Linked DNA regions of Kluyveromyces lactis. The protein of the gene in region 4 interacts with the protein of the main gene of each other region in a biochemical or structural test. Links are inferred from orthologs where the notes say so. Each region holds a gene or a part of one and is shown on either strand. Other genes may lie near its edges. The genes, in order: CMD1, ACT1, VAC17 and KLLA0_A03905g.

Region 1 (2,245 bases), on a different chromosome or scaffold from region 4:
TTTGAGGCATGTAGTTCCTGCAGAAAGGGATCATATTCATAAGTCCAAATAACTTTAAACACATTAGTGGCATTTACTCGCATCGCAAAAAAAAATAAAGAGTTTTATAAACAGTCATACACCGAGACAGCATACTTACCACTGAAGTCCCGTTAAGGGCTCAAAAACGCGGCTGCAAATTATATAATTATTTATAGATAGGGACTAAAGAACACGCATTATCATTATTCTTTTTAGTGTTTTACATTTCATCTTATTATCATTTAAGCTATTATTTCACAGGATGGCATTCAACATCCACTACTGTATACACATGTACGAATGATCATCGTTTTATATTAATGGATTTACACAGCATTTGTAAAGCTATTTGCAGTAAGAGCGTTGTAGCAGCAACTATTTACTTGAAACGTTGTGCTTGTGCGTAATTTGAGCGATGGAAAGATGAAAAGTAAAAAGTAATGAGGAACGAAAGGTAAAGGAGAACCAGAGTATTACATCCGATGAAAGAGCAATTAAGCGATCTATTTGGATAGAAGGGCAGCAAATTGTTTGATGTTAATTTCACCCGAGCCATCGCTAACTTCTCTCAACATTTCATCGACTTCCGCATCGGTCAATTTTTCACCAATCGACGTCAAAACATGTTTCAACTCTGCAGCAGAGATCAAACCATCCCCGTTCTTATCAAACACCTTGAAAGCTTCCAACAACTCTTGTTCCGAATCGTTACACTTCAATTGTCTGGACATTAACGCTAAAAACTCACTGAATTCAATGGCATGGTTACCATCAACATCAATTTCGTTCATCAAGTCAGCAACTTCGGCTTCACTGGGCGAAAGACCCAAAGATCTCATCACGGTAGCCAACTCACTAGCAGAAATGGAGCCGCTATTATCCTTATCGAACAAGGCAAATGCCTCTTTGAATTCTGCAATTTGTTCCTCTGTTAAATTCTGCGACATTTTATTTTCCTTTTGATCCTACTAATACGCAATCTGTGTGTGGTAAATGAATATCTGGTAATCCAGGACTGGAATGGAACAATAAACAGACCCTTATGGTTACCTAATAACAACTGTTTTCTTTTGTTGAGATCCAAAACTTTAACTGCAAGTAGAGAATTAAAACAAACAGACGTTTAAAGGATCGAAATTAATTTGGATTTCAAATCGAAAAATGAACACCTAAACTGTCAATACGGGAAAAAGACGTTATTTACGTATTAACAGCGGGAAAGGTAGTAAATATAGAAACACAAACGCGTCTACTTTCTTCGACACAGCAATTGAGAAGTCGGTTATCTGATGTTGAATGTAAGGGACGATTAATAGATACTGATATACGGTGTCATTAGCTTCTGGCGTCCTACGTTTCCCCTTTTTTTTCAGCCTTCGCCTGATGTGATTGGGATTTTGCGTTCAAATGAAAACTTTTCGCAGGATAATCTGGTTACCCGGACATAGAACGCATTACCAAATTTCCCATAAACAGCGAGTCTCTCTTTTAAGTTTTATCTGATGATCTCTGCCAAACGGCTGATTGATCCTCCCATCATCTTTACACGAATTATTGTACGGATTGTCAACTACAAGGCAGCATTCATACTAATTTTAAGGTATACCTTATGTCTGTTTTTGGATTTGATAACATTCCGACGTGGCTTTGGTGGTTGTTGGCGATTTATTTGGCAACACCGTTTGTGCTTTACGTTGTACAACCCTATTTGTTTTATGAGGGTAAAAGTACGAAAACCAGGATACTGATAGTTGTTCTCGGTGATTTGGGTCATTCACCAAGGATTTTATACCATGCAAGAAGTTTCAGCAAAGCTGGGTTTCAGGTAGAGCTATCAGGGTACGTTGATTCAGATATTCCAACCGATATACTGGATGATGACAATATTGAAATTCATGGATTGAAGAAATATGGTTCTGAAAAAGGGTTACTGGTAAAGGCATTAAAACAAGGATTACAACTTTGTTCCATGTTCTGGAAACTTAGGGCAGTCGATTATATCCTTTTGCAAAACCCACCAACGATTCCTATCTTACCAATAGCTGTTGTTGTTAAGACATTTTCAAGGGCAAAATTAATCATCGATTGGCATAACCTGGGTTACACTATATTGCAAATGAAATTTAAAGACCAGTTTTTACATCCGTTGGTACTCTTGGCGTATTTGATCGAATGGATTTTTGCCAAGTTTGCTAATTACCATTTAACGGTGACTAAAGCTATG
Region 2 (3,706 bases), on a different chromosome or scaffold from region 4:
GTTTTTCCCTCTTCAATTGTCTCTTTGATTTGGAAGGTTCAGCGGGCGTTGTCTCTGCGAGATCCGCCTTTGAAGCTGAGGCACCGGGGAAATACTGTTGCTTCAAGTAGTACAACTTGTAGAAAATAAACGCAGGGCACACTAATACCAAGAACCACCATTTCATCGTGTTGAAGAAAACTGTTCCCAGGTTACAGAACAAGGAAACATACACGATATCTTTCATGTATTCAGTGAGTCCACCAGATTCCAAATCGAACCCTTCATTAACTAGTTTATATTTTCCATGCGCAGCGTTACTGACTTCATATTTTGGTCTACCGGTACGTTCGAGAATATATAAACATAACAACATCGGCACATTGAAAAGAATAGGTTTTAGGGTTGAAATCAGCCCATTACTGAACCATTTCCTCAATAACGTTAAAGATAGTATAGCGACGACTAGTACGTGCAACTGCTTTAAGATGGCTGCGTTCTTTGCAGCAATCTTCTTGGACGATTTTCCAGCCATTCTACAATGGGTGGGTGAGATTCTTCAGAGATAGAGATAGATGTACATAAATGTACTGTCGAATATTAACCTGATCTATTAATACCTTCCCGTTGCTTCAATGATAGTTGATGATGATCCACGTAACATATATTCACGTATAGATTTCAACTGCCGAGTCATTATAATCCGGGTAACGTACATATATGTCACGTGATTTTGAATATACACATTAATATACGGAGGATTAAGACGATATGCGGTCATAATGAATTGTAAAATAAACCAGATGTACTAACATCCAGAGATCGATAACTGCCTCATGAATACAATATACTACGATATAACTATTCTACCGACAGCCTACCAACGTTATATCAAACTTCCAGCCTTCACAAAGCCTTCAATTGCAAGTCCGCCCCTCCAGCTGTACAGTGAATCCCACGTAACCACTAGAAAACCATTACCGCAACTGCTCCGCCTCGTGGACAATGACAATCGTCTCCTATTTTTCATCAGAATTCTTTTTTTTTTTTTAATTTGTTTTTTCGAAATTTTCTCTTCTGTTTCTCTGGACAGCTAGTGCGATTTATTGTATGAGAGAGTTTGAAATTTGATTTAATTTACAAGAAAAATAAGAAATATCTTGATTTGTTTCCTCCTTCTTTACTGTCTTTTACGATCCAAAGAGAAGAAAGGTTGTTTCAGAATAACGGTTTTTTTGTTGATTGCAAAAGGAATTGTACAACATCTTCACGCGCTATAGTATAACAATATGGATTCTGGTATGTGTGGAAACGTATATTTGATTACGGTGGGTTAATTGGGTGGTTAAAAAGTTTGGATATGTTTTATTACTTTGTTAGGTTTCCGGTTAAATGTTGGGAGGGAAAAGATAGGATAATGGCAGCGCTTTGCGCTGCCATTGTCCATTCTCTAACTCCCTAAATCAGATTTAGAATTAGATGTACAACGCTAATTGAATGGGTTTTTTTTATATATAGGGGTTTGGATTAGAAGCTTTGTTCGAGAATTGGATCTTTCATTTCCTGGTTCTACCTTCTTACTATAACGTGTTTTTCTTGGGTTTTGGGTGACTAACTTTGGATTTTGGGTTTTTTTTACCTGATTTAGGAGGCGAATTGGAAAGAAATTTGGAAAATATAGGCAAAAAAAGATAATTTGATGTCACGTGATGATGTGATTTTATATTACAATGTTATTCCTTCCAGTCCAAGAAGGAATCAAAGTACACCTTTAAGTGGTGCAGGCATTGCCCCTCGTGGTTCGGTTGTCCCTATTTTTTTTTTGATTTATTTTTCTGGTTGCTAAGGTTAGCCCCTATTTTGTCCGCGACAGGACTTTTAGCGTTGAACAATCACATAACCTCATGATCACCCAAAATGCACCTGTTACTTTTGTTTTCTTATCTTATGTTACTAACAATTATTTTTCTATTTGGGATGGCTGAATTCACTTTTTTGGAACACCTAACCTACCCAAACGTACGGTTTAGTTCCTTAATCTGCATTCTGCTACTCGTGATGGTTTTTTATTCTAAACAGAGGTCGCTGCTTTAGTTATTGACAACGGTTCTGGTATGTGTAAAGCCGGTTTCGCCGGTGACGACGCTCCAAGAGCCGTCTTCCCATCCATCGTCGGTAGACCAAGACACCAAGGTATCATGGTCGGTATGGGTCAAAAAGACTCTTACGTTGGTGACGAAGCTCAATCCAAGAGAGGTATCTTGACTCTACGTTACCCAATTGAACACGGTATCGTTACCAACTGGGATGATATGGAAAAGATCTGGCATCACACCTTCTACAACGAATTGAGAGTTGCTCCAGAAGAACACCCAGTTTTGTTAACCGAAGCTCCAATGAACCCAAAGAACAACAGAGAAAAGATGACTCAAATCTTGTTCGAAACTTTCAACGTTCCAGCCTTCTACGTCTCTATCCAAGCTGTTTTGTCCTTGTACTCTTCTGGTAGAACCACTGGTATTGTGTTGGATTCTGGTGACGGTGTTACCCACGTTGTTCCAATCTACGCCGGTTTCTCCTTGCCTCACGCTATCTTGAGAATCGACTTGGCTGGTAGAGATATCACCGACTACTTGATGAAGATCTTGGCTGAACGTGGTTACTCTTTCTCTACTACCGCTGAAAGAGAAATCGTCCGTGACATCAAGGAAAAGCTATGTTACGTCGCTTTGGACTTCGAACAAGAAATGCAAACTGCTTCTCAATCATCCGCTGTTGAAAAGTCTTACGAATTACCAGATGGCCAAGTTATCACTATCGGTAACGAAAGATTCAGAGCTCCAGAAGCTTTGTTCCATCCATCTGTTCTAAGTTTGGAAGCTGCTGGTATCGACCAAACTACTTACAACTCCATCATGAAGTGTGATGTTGATGTCAGAAAGGAATTGTACGGTAACATCGTCATGTCCGGTGGTACCACCATGTTCCCAGGTATTGCTGAAAGAATGCAAAAGGAAATTACCGCCTTGGCTCCTTCTTCTATGAAGGTCAAGATCATCGCTCCTCCAGAAAGAAAGTACTCTGTCTGGATCGGTGGTTCTATTTTGGCCTCTTTGACCACTTTCCAACAAATGTGGATCTCAAAGCAAGAATACGACGAATCTGGTCCATCCATCGTTCACTTGAAGTGTTTCTAATCTCCTTCACTTTTTTTTACTTGACACTCTTATAAAAAGAATACAATTAAAATAAACGATGAATCGATTCATATAGATGAACCCAAAAATTGAAGCTTATGAAACAAAAAACTAACAATTATTAAAACTTCATATAGGGACGATTTTACTCCAAATCTTCTTTGTTTTTATAATTTTGTTTTGTGTGTTGTTTTTATTTATCTTCGATCGCACAGTCATTATTCAAGTTCCAATCTTCTATCTTATGTTGTTGGAATATTCTACTTCATATAAATGAAGTGGGTAGTTTAGTATGAAAGTTAATAAGTTAATAAGCCGAGATTATATACGAACGAAATTCAAATTCAACATTAAAATTAAACAACTCCAATTGAAAGTTATATACGGCAATTATTGAATATTCGTGCGAGGCTAATTGCTTAAGTTGATCATCTGATAATTTGAAAAGGATTTAAAATCATCATATGTTCCAGAACAAAGATTTTTAGTGTTGAAAGTTATTCTTAGTTTATGAAATAGTAAATTATTTA
Region 3 (3,143 bases), on a different chromosome or scaffold from region 4:
TATCAGAAGAGTTTGTTCAGAGTTCATTATCGTTTTTAAGTGCAAAAGATGATGATATCAATGAATTTGAGGTCACTGAAGCAGCACATGATGCAACTGAGGATTTGGAATCTTTGAAACAGCGAAGCAATATTAAATCTCTCGATTCCCCTCAAAGGAATAGAAACTCCGCCTTCTTTGATGATGTGGATGGTACATCTCTGGACTTCAAATTGCCCAGCATCGTAAAGTCTTTTTCGTCAAACTCAGATGTTAATGACAAGTTCAAAACGGGGATCAAAACTGTTACTATATCTAAATCTTATAGAGTAGCCTCTGGTTCTCGATCTGCCATCACTTTCTTGGGTAAAAAGAGAAAATTGAAGGCACCCCAAGGCCGAAAATCCACACCGTTGGTACGCAAACCAACATCTAGCTTGTTTGACTCCAATTCCGATAGTTTCACCTGACCCATCCAACTAATATGTCAATTTCATTATAAAATCTCTTAAAATTACATTTGTATAATCATTATATCAGAAGTTAAATTCAGTGTTCAATGCCTCTTGAAGTTCATTATATGAAACAGTACAAGTTACTAATGGGTCATTTAGCCCACGGATGAACTTTGCGCCATTCGGTCCTATTACTATCGATGTAGAGTAACTGTTAGAGCTTGAATGCCGTTGTCGATTTTCCACAATGGGTCGTCCACTCGATGGAGACGAATTATCAGGATTTCCAATTTCTTTCGTTACTAGAGAGTCCGAATTAAACCACTTTTGAAAAATAGAGGATGCAAATGGGGTTGAGTTGGACGAACTGAACCATCCTCTATACTTCTTAGATGGTGGAGCTGTTACGAACTGGCTCAACATATCTTTTGATAGATGCGGTGACCCGATAGTTGGCGAAGCGGTTGAATTCGAAGTACTACAGCTTATTGTTGGTTTTGTGACGATGGCCTTTTTCTGCCAAACAGATTGGTACGTTGGTCTCATTATTAGGTTAGCTGGAGTTGAAGGTGATAGAATTTTCCTAGAAAGAATGCTTTCATGAGAATTACAGCGCCTTACCTGTTTAGATGGATATTGATCTTCATTTTGGGATAGATAATATGATATATTTGGTGGGGATACCGATATTACGGTTTCTTCATCACTAGCATCTGTATTTACATCATCAAAAACTGACAGTGATAAACGGTTTTTGTTTTTGAAGAATTCCCAGTCCGCATTCTTCTTTGCTCTACCATTCAAGCCCACATCATATGATTTCGCCATTCGAAGAGTTTTATGTTCTCGGGAGAACATCTGCGATTCCAGTAGTGTATCCGGCATTGGTGATCCAGGTAAAGAATTGGCTCTTTTTACAGAATGCAAATGGTGCAAAATATCTAAATCATCTTCTTGAAACCTCACATTTCTCTTTGCTGGTAGTGACTGATTGTGTTCTTCCTTTTTCAGCTGGGATAGGCTTTTTTTCATTGGAGAAGTGCCTATTAAAGAATCCCTGTTCCTTTCAATGATCTTCAGGGTTTTCAAAGGGATAACAGATGATTCTTTACTGGACCCTGAACGAGCTGATTTTGTAGGACTTTGATATGCCCTGGCCACTTCGTTTAAACTCATTGTTATATCTTGAAATTCGTAGATCAGTTTCTCCAAAGTCTCATATTCGATACAGACATCATTTGGATCTTTCCTTTGGTGACGTAGACTTTCTTGAACATGCTCAGCACGTAACTTCAAAGAGCTTAGTCTTGCCAGGAATGAATAGTACTCCTGTACCTGTATAAAACAGTGAGAATTGTTTGGATCAAACTCACACATCTTTCGCTGGATGGACAGCTCAAGTTGCATAACGGCTTCATTACACCGGATAACTAGCCTCTCGGCTACGTACCTCATATCTTCCATTCCTTTCGAGTAACAACACTCTTCTAACTCTTAATTCAGTTTCACCCCCCCTCTCACTAGATCTCTTACTTACAAGATGGTGTGTTGTGCTGTATCTATGCTGAACAGACAGATAAACTGTGTATGGGTATGGCTATTTAGTCAAAAGGAAAAAAAACAGTCCAAAAGAGACAAGAAAAAAATAATAAAAAATACACTTCTAATGATTATTTACTCAGAGCTGTTAAGAGAATGAGAACATGCTTATACCAGTCTGAAATTTAAATTGAAACAAAAACGGAGAGATCTTCAAGTCAGTAGAATATGTCCATTATTTCGCTCTTTGTCTTGTTACTAGTTCCTCATTTCTTCTTACCTTCTAACCATCTTGAACATCAAATCTAATCTGGCATGGTGTATTGTTTTCTGATTTCATATTTTTTTTGTCTCGAGAACAATGAGATGAGCTGCCGACAAATTTGGAAAAATGTTTCGTGGTTTGCCTATTTTGGAGGTCTGGGGTTTTGGGCTCTCAAGATCTCATTTTTTGGGGACCACAGAAGACATCTCTACCAACAGAGAAAAACTTAAATAAGATAGTCCAAATATCCGGATATATATTTCCGTAGTGGATTTGTATTTGCATTTGTCAGTTTTTTTGTACCTGTATTATAAGGAAATGACAGGCATCTCAATGCTTCGTATAGATAAGGCAACCATCTAATGCTCGGTTATCTTTCATAGCAGGGACTTATATATTTAGGGGGGTGTGCTGAGATGATCTCTGAATCCAATCTTCAGTTCGACCTCTTCATCTTGAAAGCTAAATGTATGTCCATATCTTTCCAACTTCATATAGTCAAACGAGTATTAATAGATTAATAATGAAAGCCCAATTGTTCAGCAAAACACCGTTATTGAAACATCAATTCAAAAGAAGTAAAGGCCCTCAAGTGCTTTTGAAGTATGAATTTTTACAGCCGAGTGGTAGTTTCAAAAGTAGAGGTATCGGACATTTAATCTCTACAAAGGTAGAAGAAATAAAGAAATCCTCGCCTGAAAAAATCGGTCACGTGTTTGCTAGCTCTGGCGGTAACGCTGGATTGGCGGCGGCGGTTGCGTCCCTCGAATTGAACGTTCCCTGTACAGTAGTTGTGTCGAATGCAACACGTCCAAGAATTATAGAAAAGATTCGCTCCTACGGCGCAGATGTTGTTGTTCATGGTAACCATTGGAAAGAGGCAGATTCTTTCATGAAGGAGCACC
Region 4 (4,279 bases):
ACCTTAGAAGCAAGAGATTCCGTCAATTCAATGACCTTGTTTTCAAGTTTATAACTGACTTCCTGTAGGTGATTAACGGATTTGGCTTCCGATTTTAGTTGTTTTAACTTTCTTTGAGCATAGTGCTTTCTAATGAAAGATTGGATGACCACGGTGCCCTTCTTCTCATGTAGGAAACTTTTTCTTGGTTGGAAAGATCTTACGCTCTTTTGAATCGTAACAGCGGCATCGCCTCTGCGCCTTTCCAATAACTCTTTACAGGTAATTTGCTTTCTAGCCATGGATTGAATTCTAATGATGCTGATGATTATACTGGAAACGTTATCCCTCACAGAAATACCTCTATAGGCACTTTGAATCAATAGAGCTGCATTATTCTTGAATTCGTTCTCAGTTCTTAATCTTATGATCTTACCACTAACGTTTGCCTGTAGCCTTTTGATTGCATCGACAGTCCGTAGATATGTTTTACGATAGTGAAGACCCTTAATTTTTTTCTGGATCATGACAGAGGATGAGAATAACTTATCGGTTCTTAGCTTTTCCAAATGTGCTAGCATACCAGCTTTGAAGAAAATTTTTGTATTACCAGCCTGATACTTTGCAGTATCATCCATTGTACGTTTCAGGATCTCCTTACATAAGTTCTTTACATCTTCTTCAGATGGATCCGATAGTAAAATATTTGACCAAAGCTCTGATGGTACTAATATATGGTATCTGAGGGCAAACTCTGTGTATGTCCACCTCGATGGGAACCCTGCACAAGAAATTCTAATTGTTTCCAAGACACCACATGCTCTAAGCTGTGACAAAACCATAAGATTGTCAAACTTCCATGCTTCTTTGTCTTCGTTAGGTTTGATACAACGAATGTAGTGAACGTTAGTGGAGTTGATAGTTTCCATAAGATCGATCAACGATTGTTTAAACATAGATCCTAGAGTTGGTTTTCTTACGATTTTTCTTGAGGCTGGACCGGGTTTCTTTTGACTTTCTTGCTTTTGGGCTTGTTTCTCTGCCAATTTTTCCGCATTTTTGTCAACAGTTTCCAAAATAGATAGTAAAGTTTCGTTGTTAGAAGCCTTTAACACTTCAAGATGTCCATCAGAAACTGTATCTCTATTCTTTTCGATAAATCCGTCTACATCATAAGTGACGTCCAATGCATAATGGCTAACAATAAATTGAGTTTGGCCGAATCTTGGTTTGGAGAATACTTCATTAGTTGGAGGTTTATTCAAAGTTTCATATAGTTTATGCGTCCATCCTTCATCCGTACCAGCAGGTAATCTTGATTCTTCGTCTAATAATGATAAAATACCAACTTTGTTCTCAATTAAGTCAATACACGGTTGATTATCGTTGAACTCGATAAACGACCATTCAATCTGTTCCTTTACGTACTCCTCTTGTTCTAGTTTGAAAACATGTTGGTTGAACTCTTGTTGCAACTTTTCGTTAGCGTAATTGATACAGAACTGTTCGAAAGAATTCTTTTGGAAATGTTCAAAACCATAGATATCCAAGACACCGATAAAAGTATATATCTCGCTTACCACTTCAGGGTTACATAGCACGGTGTTTATGTTGTCCACTAACCAATCGAATAATGCTGAATATATGAATTTCGCCACAGAATCACGAGAAACTATGGCTTGGTGGTAAGGTAGGGATGAGACGATCTTTTCAGACCTGGTAACGATCTGTTTCTTCGTTACCCATTTAGCGAAATCAAAAGCGTCTATACCTAACAAATCTGCCGCTATTTGTAGGTTTGGTTCATCAGATGACAAAGAAGCATCATTTCTGACCTTTTTAACTTCGATGTTACCAATATGAAGAAGGGCCGCCAAGATTTTAAACAGCTGGAATTGAGTATCCTTTGAGATACCAACCAAACTCAATGCTTCCACAGTATCACCGTATTCAGAGGCGTCATCGACACCTTCGATATGAGAGTCACCGCCCTGATTCATATAATGGTAGTCTTGTATGTCTGTAAGTTTCAACTGAGATTTTTCATCGTCGGATAAACCTGATAATATTTGATAGAAAATGTGGTAATTCCTTTCAGTTTTCGGTTGGAAAACCAACCTAGAACGTTCCAACAAATATGTTCTCACTCTGGCACCAATGATTGAAGTATCGTCATCGAAGAGAATTTCCAAATATTTACCGAATCTGGAAGAGTTGTCATTCCTAATAGTCTTAGCATTACCGAATGCTTCCATGATTGGATTAGTGGCCAATATCTTCTTTTCAGTTTCAGACATTTCCAAATTATGATGTGCGTTTTCCTCATTATTTTCTTCCACACTAGCGAAATATCTCATAATATATTTAGCCGAAACAGTCTTACCTGCACCGGATTCACCAGAAACGATGATTGTTTGGTTCTGATCTGTTGTCTTCATCAACCTATACGCTTCCTCTGCGATAGCAAAAAGATGTGGTTCCAATTCACCTCTAAGTTTCCCTGCATATGCCTGGATCATCTCCTGAGAATATAGTTGATCCACACGATCAAAGGGATTTGTGGCAATGAGCACGATCCCTGAATAAGTATAGATATTCAACTGGGCATATCTGGCCTTAATAGCATGTAAAACTGCCGGTTCATTCAAATATGACAATGACGTCAAATCCTCCGTAGTCTCAAGGATTGGAGGGTTCCTAAGTAGGGGTAAACTAGGCTCTTTGGTTTCATCTAAAGAAGACACTAAAAGCTCTACTTTCTGTCCATCCTCCAAAGTCAATTCCAAATTATAGGAATCTCCCTGCAAGGTATGTTTAGTAACTTCAGCACCGATCCATCCTTGATCTTTGCTGGGATACCAGCAGCGAGTCCCGACTTCGTACGGCATCCTATGCTGATTAACGCTTAAAACCTGAAATCTAAGATCAAATCAAATAACCAATAATTGAATCAGAAAAAGCCAACGAGCACTCAATTGAATCTGCAATGACACACGGCAATTAAAATCAAAACAGTCTCCTATTGCTTCGTACTGCTAGTCACAAGGATACACGGTGTCAGATGCCTCGCTCCCTGTATTTTCCGCTCTACTCTTCTCCTGAAACTCGTGAATCTAAATAAAACACATATAAATCAAATAAGATATATATTTGTTGTTCAAAAGATCCCACTTTTTTTTTGTTTTTTTTTTTTCCCTTCTGTTGTCCCAAGAGCTTTTTAAGTGGACTAAACAAATAGCAGGGATTCAACCTTTCGCGTCAGCGCGCCAGCAACGGATAAGCATGCAGTGAGGTAAACTTGTAGGGATATTTTCGCCTTGGTGGGGCGAATATTTGCTTATGGGGCCTCAAATTAGCCTTTTAAAAGGGTGATTTTTAGTCACGTGTAAATCACATGCACTATCCGGGTAATAGCGTTCCTGGTTCGTCTCTTCATCAGACAATTTCTATTCCAACATGAATAGAGGAAGTCGGTAGGTGGAGATAAGGCGCAGCTATCAAATAAGAATTAGATAGCAGCCTGGTTTCATTTCGTGGCGAGTAAAGACGAAAATATTTCATGGAATGAGGTTTTAGAGTTGAAATATTTTTGCTGAGGAGATTACTTTGTGAATAGGAACTTTAAACTCAAACTCAAACTCAAAAATTCGAAGTCTAATGGAGGTTAGCCATCGTGAACATACCAACCATATTGGATCCCAGGTTAACCCTTTGTTCCGCGGGTCCGTATTTCATAAGAATGATGCCGCAGATCTACGAGTCCCTTGGGATGGGAAACGTCGTAAATCTGGTGCTTCGATCAATTCTAAGACTCAGATGGGGGATTTGACCGAATTCAATCCGTCTCATCATGCCAGTAATAAAAACATTTACCATGACGATATTACGTGTGGTTCTTTAAGGTTTAGTGATGCGTTATTAGATGGCTCGTTCAAATGTCAGGATGAGCATTCTAGCAATAGATCTGGACATATGGCTAGTAGTAAACCGGGGAGCGGTAACAGTAGTCTGGGTCTTCTAAAAAATCAATCATACTCTAACATATCAATTTCCTCCACTCAATCATTTAAGAAAACGCACACGAAACTGTTAAATTTCTCTCAGTTGAAGCCCGACCTCACAACAGCATCGTCTTTTGAATCACAACCTTCTAAGGGCAACTCTTTGGCAAGACAGTTTCTTGAGACCGCTTCAAAGGCAAAATGCAACAGAGAGATAATACCGACCTTATTTTATTCCCCATCTGCCAACAGCTGCGGTGATACTTCTGGAGCGCTTGATTATTTGTCATCAGGGTTTA

The links.
Region 1: the proteins of KLLA0_A03905g (region 4) and CMD1 form a complex in vitro, tested with the Saccharomyces cerevisiae proteins (2 studies listed by BioGRID, with this or other methods). The link is inferred for Kluyveromyces lactis from reciprocal best matches to the Saccharomyces cerevisiae genes MYO2 and CMD1.
Region 2: the proteins of KLLA0_A03905g (region 4) and ACT1 form a complex in vitro, tested with the Saccharomyces cerevisiae proteins (3 studies listed by BioGRID). The link is inferred for Kluyveromyces lactis from reciprocal best matches to the Saccharomyces cerevisiae genes MYO2 and ACT1.
Region 3: the proteins of KLLA0_A03905g (region 4) and VAC17 form a complex in vitro, tested with the Saccharomyces cerevisiae proteins (3 studies listed by BioGRID). The link is inferred for Kluyveromyces lactis from reciprocal best matches to the Saccharomyces cerevisiae genes MYO2 and VAC17.

What each region holds. Positions count from the first base shown.
Region 1 is NC_006038.1:824,674-826,918, reverse strand, and holds CMD1 (calmodulin), read right to left. Parts: upstream 969-2,245; coding exon 525-968; downstream 1-524. Other genes in the region: AIM3 (Aim3p), read left to right, coding at 1-52; ALG1 (chitobiosyldiphosphodolichol beta-1,4 mannosyltransferase), read left to right, coding at 1,631-2,245.
Region 2 is NC_006040.1:460,458-464,163, forward strand, and holds ACT1 (actin), read left to right. Parts: upstream 1-1,268; coding exon 1,269-1,278; intron 1,279-2,058; coding exon 2,059-3,176; downstream 3,177-3,706. Other genes in the region: SND2 (Snd2p), read right to left, coding at 1-514. UniProt on the Saccharomyces cerevisiae protein: Actins are highly conserved proteins that are involved in various types of cell motility and are ubiquitously expressed in all eukaryotic cells.
Region 3 is NC_006039.1:32,703-35,845, reverse strand, and holds VAC17 (Vac17p), read right to left. Parts: upstream 1,899-3,143; coding exon 516-1,898; downstream 1-515. Other genes in the region: chromatin-modulating protein MRC1, read left to right, coding at 1-449; L-serine/L-threonine ammonia-lyase CHA1, read left to right, coding at 2,705-3,143. UniProt on the Saccharomyces cerevisiae protein: Vacuole-specific MYO2 receptor required for vacuole inheritance. Binds simultaneously to MYO2 and to VAC8, a vacuolar membrane protein, forming a transport complex which moves the attached vacuole membrane along actin cables into the bud.
Region 4 is NC_006037.1:347,604-351,882, forward strand, and holds the start of KLLA0_A03905g (myosin family protein), read right to left. Parts: upstream 2,868-4,279; coding exon 1-2,867. Other genes in the region: FRT2 (Frt2p), read left to right, coding at 3,637-4,279. UniProt on the Saccharomyces cerevisiae protein: Myosin heavy chain that is required for the cell cycle-regulated transport of various organelles and proteins for their segregation.